Drosophila melanogaster: one gene and its partner. The protein of the gene in region 1 interacts with the protein of each later gene in a pairwise test. Each region holds a gene or a part of one and is shown in the gene's direction. Other genes may lie near its edges.

Evidence for each region.
Region 2: the proteins of Pkcdelta (region 1) and robl interact in a two-hybrid assay, tested with the Drosophila melanogaster proteins (one large-scale study listed by BioGRID).

The regions. Positions count from the first base shown.
Region 1 is NC_004354.4:12,438,932-12,445,219, forward strand, and holds the start of Pkcdelta (protein kinase C delta), read left to right. Parts: upstream 1-2,552; 5' UTR 2,553-2,605; intron 2,606-4,075; 5' UTR 4,076-4,266; coding exon 4,267-6,288.
Region 2 is NT_033778.4:17,454,742-17,458,279, forward strand, and holds robl (roadblock), read left to right. Parts: upstream 1-1,730; 5' UTR 1,731-1,829; coding exon 1,830-1,832; intron 1,833-1,895; coding exon 1,896-1,974; intron 1,975-2,042; coding exon 2,043-2,254; 3' UTR 2,255-2,388; downstream 2,389-3,538. Other genes in the region: CG10764 (uncharacterized protein), read left to right, coding at 1-91, 168-216, 312-448, 507-883; robls54B (roadblock similar 54B), read right to left, coding at 1,023-1,337, 1,397-1,420.

The DNA.
Region 1 (6,288 bases):
ACGAGGGCCATTCATTATGCAGGTGCATGAAATTGTGCAATACATTTGGTCTTTTTATTCGCCGAACAAAGGAATAAATACTTTCACTCGATGTGTGTACGATCAAAGCGGAAATAATGCGAAAGCCAGATTAAGCTGAAATCGCTATATATAATAGATGGTTAGACAGATAGCCAGACTGCATTAGAAATCAATTTATTGCGACTTTGCCAACACAAGACATGCGAAAAAAAGGGGGGGGGGGAAAAAACATGGCGTACCGAACAAGACGAAAATACAACGCAGGCAGAACAAATTCCGTGATATTCGACTGGCAGGATACCTATTAATTTTTATGGCATAGCCCTAAGTCTTAAAAGGAACAAATATTCGGTAATACCAGTTATATAGTTTTGGAAACTTTTATATCACTTACAACTAAATTTGTTTATTTATTATTTTTTTATTTATTTTATTTATCGGTGAAAATATTGCACATGTTTTGAGTTCTTATTTTTGCAAATCATCGATAGATAAATAAATTATTATTTATTATTATTTATCCTGAACTGCATACTTCAACAAGATATAGCATAACCTTTAGATATTATCAGTTTATTATTTTATTTATATTTATATTTATTTCCGTTCATATATCTTAAGTAAAAGCCTGAAAGGCAATCAGAATGCACTTAGTTTAGCATTTGGAAAGTGCTTAGTACAGAAGCATTTTAAAACATATAAAAGGATTTTTTTTTGTAAATGTTCCAAGTGGTTTCGTTTTAAGAGGTATTAAAACTTAATAACCCATTAACTGGATATGAAAGCGAATATGTTTTTTTAAGTGAAAGAGTAAGCCCATGGATATGCACTTTTGCAACTGGCGGGACAGGAATGCAGTGCAAAAATATATATATATATATATACTCACTATAAATCGCAAAGATTAAGTACTGAGGCAGAGGATAAATAAAACAAAAAAAAACGGCAAATAAGAAAGAAGAGCATGTTGCAGTTCTATTTCTAGTTGTTTGGCGCTTTCCAACTGACTCTTCCTCTTGCTCGGCGATCTATAAATGTACTTTGCGGAACCGAAAAGCGTCACCATTAGCATCGCATGTACGATTCCGAGTGCTACGGGTAGTACATCTCATGTGAGATACATCCTACGTGCGGCATTTCTGGCATTTGTTTTCGATTTCCTCGCGATCTATTTGCGGGGGGGGGGGGGGGGGAGGGGTGGATGGACAAATTTAGCCAAACATCTCGATAGCAGGTGCTACCAACAGGCAGATTGATGATGGCCCAAAAGGCTCCTAGCCACTTTTGCCATAATCCCATGCTGCCGAACATGTACAACGATATTTGCCATCATTGGATTTTCAATTCAAAAAAAAGATACAAAATCTTTAGCTCAATCCTTATAAAATTGGCAGTTTTCTAATAAAAATAGGGTTATTAAGGCATTATTGTTTTTAATTTTATTGATTTAAAGATGATTTCAACTAAGTTTACATTGCAGTCTTTTATTTTTGTTAGATATTTTGGTAACTTCATATTGAAACAATATCTCAATTTGTTGAAATTGCCATTTCACTGTACATCGCATAGATGAACACTTTGATGTTTGATTACACTTGCCTAATTCGTTTAATTTATGGCTTATACACATTTTAGTGACAATTAATTGGTCACACATTTTATGACAGCAATCCCACATAGCTTGTTCTCTTTTTCAGCCCATGTCTATTTCTATCGCTACTTTGAATTGAGATCGTTTTTTTTCTCGTTGTTAGTTTAATTTTTTTGCAAGTTAAAACAATAGTAGTGATGTTGCTTAAATTTTACTTTAATTGCTATTGATTTTCTATTGTTGAAGGGTTGTGCTTTTAACTATGTTTTCGAATACCCGAAATGGTGAAAGTATCTTTGTATCTTTGAATGTTACATTATCTAGTAAAAAGTCTGAAATGCCAGGTCCTATTTGCTTGTAATAAACAATTGCGATATATGTTGCTATACCTATTTTAGTTAATTGTTCCGCATACTTTATGGACTCTCTTCTTCGCTCAATTCTTCTGAAGAATCTCCCATATGAGTTCTTCGCTCTTTCGCAGTTTTCGCTTTTACTTTCGCTGTGCAAAAACGAGGAAAAGCATTTTCAAAAGACGTCAAAAATGTTTTTGATGCTTTTTCGAAATTCGAAAAACCGCTCGCCTTCGTGTGAAATTTATGGCACACTAGAAATTTCGTTTGGTTGTGTTGAAAATTGTGAGGGGGCATATTTCGAAATTGGCAGACACGTAGAGATAATTGAAAGAAGAGGAAAATGATGATCTGGGCCTGTGCCTCAACACGGATACAGATGCAGATGAACACAAGATACAGATACAAGATACAGCAGTATTGCTGCCAAGTTAGCCTCTCTCTCACACAGATGGACTTCGAATTTTCCCGTGAAAATCATCGACACGTATGTGTGTGTGTGTGTGTGCGTGTGTGCTTGTGAGTTCAGAAATCGGAATTGAAAATATTCTGCGCTGCCTTTCACATTTCAGTAGTTTCCGTTATTGCGTTCGCCTCGTCGAGTTAGCTCCTTTGAATTTTTTCCTGTGTCGCGCTGACGGTAAAAATCATAACAAAAAATAATCATTGCTCAAAAGAGCATTCGAATGTACCAAAAAAAAAAAATTTTTTAAAATTCCCGCACCTTGTGTTTGAAGTGGCTAATAAAAAACGAAATAATTATATTACGGTACAACATAGAAGCAACAACGAAAAAAATTGTCAGCAATTTATGCGTGGAAAATAGCTGAGGAAAATCGCAGACAACGACTCGTGAGCGCTTACGTCATGCGAAAAAATTTATCTCATACATCGGATTATATATCTATATCTATATGGCACATGTGGGCTAAAGACGAAAGCCAATAATAAACATATTATGTATCGAGCGAAAAAAGAAGTCAATTGAAATAATTGAAAAGCCATCGATTCCAGCTGACCTTCAGCCAATGACATTTCAATTTTCAAATCCATATCTAATGGCCATTATTCGGTATTTAAAAATCTAGCACTTTAGCATAAAACTTCACTGGAAACGCATTGTTTATTGAGTCGCATAAACAAATCGGATAGCTTTCATTTTTCAAATGAATAAAAATGGCTATCAATCTCTTTAATATACATTTAGATTTTCTACCAAAATTTAGATGATTCAAACTTAGTAGTATGTTACAAAGAATTCCTTAAATAGTAATCGAAAATTTATTTTTACAAAGTTAAGATAAATTACCAAACATTTTCAATTTTAAAAAATATCTTTAGAAACAGGTTTTATAATATTTTAGCATATTACCCGTATTTAAATGCCTAAAAAAGTACACGGAAATCTGTAAGAAAGTTGGCTGATTTCGTTTTGTCTTCGATCAGGCGGCATTAAACCTTTGGGCCAATTAGGCAATAATTAATGTGACTTCGGTATTGCCAAATGCTGGCACATTATGACAGCCGGTTTGAAATCTTTAAAAATTGTATAATTAAACTGCGGCAGCGTCGAAGGGATAGATACATATGCAAATACATGAACGACAGCCCCAAAAATACATATTTCAAGCAAGCGTTAACCTGTGAAGAATAAACTGAATAAACTGAAGTGCCAACGAATTTATGGTCGAATCTCTGTCCGTTCGCAATCTAAATTTATCATCTTGCCCAATTGAATGTGGGATTAGTCTTGTTAAAGGCCGCAATGGCCATTAAATTGAGTTATTGACATCGAATTGGCTTAGCCGGAAATCGAATTGGAAATGAACAGATCGGCAATCGAATCGGTTTATTTAGTTAATGATACACAAATGGCCGAATGAGGAAGTACAGTGTGCTTCCAAGTAGTTTACTTAAGTCAAATCATATATTTTGTAATCAATTTTGACTTTTACATTACACTAAAATATTTCAATAATTTAATAATGTTATAAAATTTGTTTGCAAATTATTTTTATTAACTTGTAGTGAAGTAGTTCGCCATTAAAGTCAAAACTAGCGATGACTGTGCCATTTAGATAAAGATATTTATGTGTACATCCGAATACAGCGTAATTACGATTAAAATATGAGAGCCTAAACGAACCGAAGGAAACAATTAAGCTAAAAGCAGCGGAAAAGCGCCGGAAAATAAGCAAACCAAAAATTCAAACCGAAGGTTTTCTTCGTGTATTGTGATTTTTTGTTTTTTTTTTTTTTTGTTTATTTTGTTTGTTTGTTTGAGTGAGTGACTGCTGCAAAATGCCTCTGTATTCGGATTCAACCAACTACTACTATAGTGGCGGCAGCAGTCAGCTGTATTCGCCGTACTATAGTTCCGGCTTGGGTCTCAACTTGGGCATGGGATCCTCACCAGGATCGAGCTATACATCTAGCTACAATCGCTCATATCCGGCCAGCTATATGGTACCCCTGAGTCCCTCCTCGCCGAGATCACCGAGCAGTTATTCCAGTGGCAGCTCCGGCGGCAGTAGCTCCCTCCATGGCCTGGGCTCCAGATATCAACCCAAACTGACCACGATTACGGAAACGGGTCGGCACAGTGGTCATAGCAGCCTAATGCCTCTGACCAGGATTAACTCACCGAAATACAGCAGCTCGGTGACCACACCGAGTTATGGTTCATCGGGCGCCAGTAGTCGGTACATACCAGCCAGACCCATTGCCATCAATACGGCGGATATCGATGTGAGCTCCTCGCGATATCGCAGGGCAGTGCCATCCAAGTCGCAGGAAAAGGAGCAGCCCAAGGAGGAGGTGAAGCAAAAGGAACAGAAGGAGCAGGCGGAGGAGGAGGTTAAGCCTTCTCCCAAGGAAACACCATGCGAAAGTTCAGATGCAAGTGCCGAAACCAGACCCAATCGTAGGTCAACCATTAGAAGAAATCGTCCGGTGGTTAGATTATCCACCATACGAAGACGCAGCAAGGATCGCAGTGCCGAGAGTCCCAAGAAGGAGCAAGTGCAGGAGCATCAATTCAGGGATCTGCCACCTGCCACCGAGCCCAGTTTGAGTTGGCGTCAAAAGTTGGCCGAAGAATTGGCAGCCTTTCCAGTAACCAGCAATAAAAAGTCACCCGGCGAATTGCTTCGCGAGAGATTCTATATAAAAGATGAGAAGGAGGAACTAACCAATTTCAATAGAGCCCAAATCCAAGAGCTTGTTCAACCACAAAGTGCTCATAAAACTTTGACTCCGGAAGTGGAGATAAGTGCCAAAAAGGAAGTGGATGACGAAAAGGAGGATGAGTCCGATAAACAGGAACAGGAATTGGAGGAAATGCAGGAGACCATTCGTCGTTTGAGTTTGGTCCAATGTCCAACATTTCATGACATTTGCGAGGATATTTCATCCGATAAAATTGATGATGATCTGAATGCCGGAGAACTCAGACGTAGGGCCTCTATTATTCAGGAGCAAGAACAGGAAATCTTAAATAAGTTGCAGAAGTCAAACTCCGGCAGCTTTCAGTTGATCCACCTGGAACGTAGATCCAGTCACGATAGTACCACCACTAACGATGAAGATCTGAAGGAGAGATCGAAAAGGCGGTCCAAGAAGAGTAAAAAGATGCGCCATAAGATCACCGCCATTGTTGAGGTGGAAAATGCTCCCCAAGCTCAGCCAGTAGAGCATATGCCTAGTGTTTTGGAGTTGAATGAGGAGTCCCTATTAATACAACCATTGACTTCCGGTTCCGGTTCGAGTTCCACTCCAACTCCCAGTCCGAAACCGAAATTCACCGTTAATGTAGAGACTGTGGAGGAGCATCATCAGATACACAAGATATTCAAGCTGCCCAAGAAAAAGACAGTGCCCAAGGATCAGGATGATTCGTCTTTGCCCGAAGGATTCATGAAAGCTGCGCCCAAAACAACCAAGACATCGCCTTTGAAGAAAGTAAATAAGCAGCAACATGTTAATGAGGCACAGATTTTCACCTTTGATGAGGCAGCCATACAACAGCAGCAACAAGTGCAGCAGCAGCAGCAGCAACCGGAACTACCTAAAACCGAGGCCAAAGTCGAGGGCGTGGCTACGCCCAAGCCCATTCGTAAGGCTATACAGAAATCGGAGAGCGGCGAGGACTTTTGGTCACAGATCGGTTCTAGGGAAACGCTATACATGACCAATCGCAAAAAGGTCTTTAACATGCGGCAAGAGCAACAGGAGCAACTCCTGGAGGAGGAACCGCCTAAATCACCAGCAATGCCAAAGGAAACAAAGACAGATTTAAAGACACCAACAACTCCCAAGCTCAAA
Region 2 (3,538 bases), on another chromosome or scaffold:
AATAGCTGCAGTCAGGATATCGCGGCACCGATCGCGCAGCTAAGAATTTATTGGCCTGGTTCTTATGCCGTTGGCGTATTAATAACAGATCGTAAGTATACTCTTTCACTCGAGAATTCCACAATTAAATGAGTATAAATTTAACAAGATTGAGTTTCTTTTCTTAGAATTGATCATCGCTGCTGCCACAGACCTGCCCACAGTTGCCGCCTATTTGTAAGTTGTTCGAAGGATTATCCCTTGTGCATTAACTGCTATTTTTCACATTAGTTACTAGTTTATTTTGATACCATTTTAAATTAATTATTCAGATACGTGTTCGTAGTGCTCGAAGGAATAAGCGCAATCAACCAAATTGAATCGGTTTCAAAGCACCCAAATTTTACTACGAATGATTACCGAAATGACATAGCAGTACTCAAACTTGTTCGATCAATAAGCAGCACAGGTAGAACATACCTACTATCATAGCAATTGCCTCGATTTACAGTTATATTCTTTTACAGCAATGAAACCCATCTGCATTTTGACAACGCAAATATACCAGCAAAACGCCGAAAAGGCTCGAGAATTGAAAATAATTGATACAGATTTAGCTGAACAATTCGACGTCAGGCTAATGGAAGGGAGCCAATGCGCGAAACATCTCGGATTTCAAATCAACGAAAATCAAGTGTGCATGGTAGATCCATCCGACACAAGTAATCCCCGCCAGAAACGTAGCTACATAGTGGTTGGAGGGATGAATGCCAATGGCCAGATACGCTACATTTTGGTGGGCATTTTCAGTTTTTCATCGAAAAACATACTCGTTTTTACGAATGTTATGAGGCACACGGATTGGATTCTTTCCTTGCTATATTCGTTAAATACGTCATCTTAAAATATTTAAATGCCTTAAAAATGTAAAAGCACGTGTAAATACCAATTACTGACATACGAGTGATTGGTACATGTTTTAATAATAAAGTAACATACGCTAACGAATAAGAAATTGTCTTTGAGAAATCTAAAATATTTAATCATTTTTCGAAGTAATCATGCGCGTTCTGTACTACGAGTAGTGTTATCTTGGAGTCTGGCACCAGGAGCACCTCGTTGGTTCTTGTGCGTATTCTCAGCATTAGTAGTTCGTCCGTGGGATCTATTTTACTCATACCGCGTTCCAGTCTTCCTCGAATAGCCTGAAAAGGTCCCGAAAATTGGACAGCATCCTCTCGGTCCATCGTACTCATCACCGGATGTCCCGACTCGTTGAGGATCACTACATCTCGAACATGTTTTTTCGATTTGACCAGGTCGAATGCTTTTTCCACATATCGTAGAGTTCGAGGTGGCTATTTAATGATGTAACCTATAAATAAATATAATTACATTCAATATGGAAATATTTTACCTTTTGTGGAAGATCCGGAAACATATTTCTCGTCTGCTTTGAAACACCTTGAACTTCGTAGTAACGGTTTCGTGAATTTTTAACCTAATTTTTTTTGTTTTCTTGGTTTCCAAGGTGCGTGTTGCTATATGGGTCAATATGCCAGATTAAACAATTCTGTGTAGTTGTTATTAATGTATTGTTAGTAAATAATAAACTTATTAAATTATTCAATCACAAATATTTTGATAATTACCGTTGCAAATTTTTTTCTCATTGAAAACTTCATATCGATATTTTCTGTTAACTTATGTGGAAATCTGTTAAATTAACAATGAACAATGTGCCATCACTGACAGTGCATCTCTAATATTGAACAAACAAAGTTTACTATTTCATTGAACTGCAGGTAGCGGTAGTGTCTGCCGTGTTTCCAACAAAATTATAAGAAAAAATGGTAAGTAAGAGTTGTGCATACACAAAAACATTAAGAAAATAACGTTACCTTCATGGCTTACAGTCGCAGGAGGTTGAGGAAACACTCAAGAGAATCCAGAGCCACAAAGGTGTTGTGGGTACAATTGTGGTCAACAATGAAGGTGGGTGGTTCAACTGCACCCCAGTGTGTGCTAAGATATCTAACTAATTCTCAACGCCTCCCAAATAGGTATTCCGGTCAAATCCACGCTGGACAACACTACCACCGTTCAGTACGCTGGCCTAATGAGTCAGCTGGCGGACAAGGCACGAAGTGTGGTGAGGGACTTGGATCCTTCCAACGACATGACATTCCTGCGGGTGCGATCCAAGAAGCACGAGATCATGGTGGCACCCGACAAGGACTTCATCCTGATTGTCATCCAAAACCCAACCGACTAAATGGCATGGTGCATCGCGACTATTGCTGAATTATCTGCACATTTATATCTGTATTCTAATCATCAGCGTATAAATGGAAAGTTAAATTATAATGTAATGAAATTGTACTCCATACAATAAATATATTTATGCATAAAATGACATCACGTAAACATTTTGGGCTCTGTAAACTTCAGGTGTTTTCAGCTGTTAGTCCGCTATAACTATTGATAGGGGCATTCATTCTTTATTTTCAAAAACTGAAATATGCGTTCTCTAATTGAAACAAATGACTCCAAAAGATAAATTTATTTTAACGCTAATTCTAACACGAACAATTAATTATTATAATATTATTATAATTATTGAAGTTGTTTGATGTTTGGGTAGTTGGTTTAAGCATCCGCTTCACCGACGTATTTATCGAATACTTTCGAAGCGAGAGATATGTATTCTCTTGTTACCTTTGAAATTGTTTCCGTTGCTATTAGGTGAACATTTATGTTATGTTGGCAATTAAAGACTACCACGGCTTGTACATAATTGGAAAGATTACAATAATTACAACGGTGTGGTAATTATATCCTTTAAAAACCATATGCAGGGACAGAAGGTATCGAATATGTATAAAATAACTTCGATAGTAGCAAAGTCCCAGACTATCGATGTTTGGCCATCGTCGTTGCACGCCACGGTCACACTGATGCAAAGTCGAGGAAGACGGATTCGTGTGTCGGTGAAAACCCGTGAGTTTTGCGTACTTGCATTTAAAGAAAACCCCTCAACGGAATAGTCAATAAATTGATTGGAGAGCCCAATCAGCCACCGTTTCGACCCAGTGTACGCGTGTGCAGCGAGTTAAGAGATCCACCGATCGATCAAATCGTATTGAAAAAAGGTAATTCGAAAGATGGGCGTGCAGCGAAAAGCGAACGAGTAAAGAAAATGGCGTAATCACGCACTTCGAAACCCAAAAGGCAGCCAGCAAACGCAACGCAAACGGAATCCAAATCCACGAACCCTCAATCGGCCAGTCAGCATTACTTTGGGTGAAAAAACGAGCTATATGAACGTGAAAAAAGTGAATAAAAAACGTAAAAAAAATGTGCTGCAGCCATATTTGTTCCGTGAAAATGAAAACGATACACACACACACACGGGCAAAGTCGAGTGTATATAGTCGTCGGTGCATATATATCTGTCTATACATATGTGCTAAGAATTAACTAAATAAAATGAAGCACTTCGTATCGGATCGTCATCGCACCGTTTCGTTGTTCGCAATTTCATTTCATTTCCAACGCG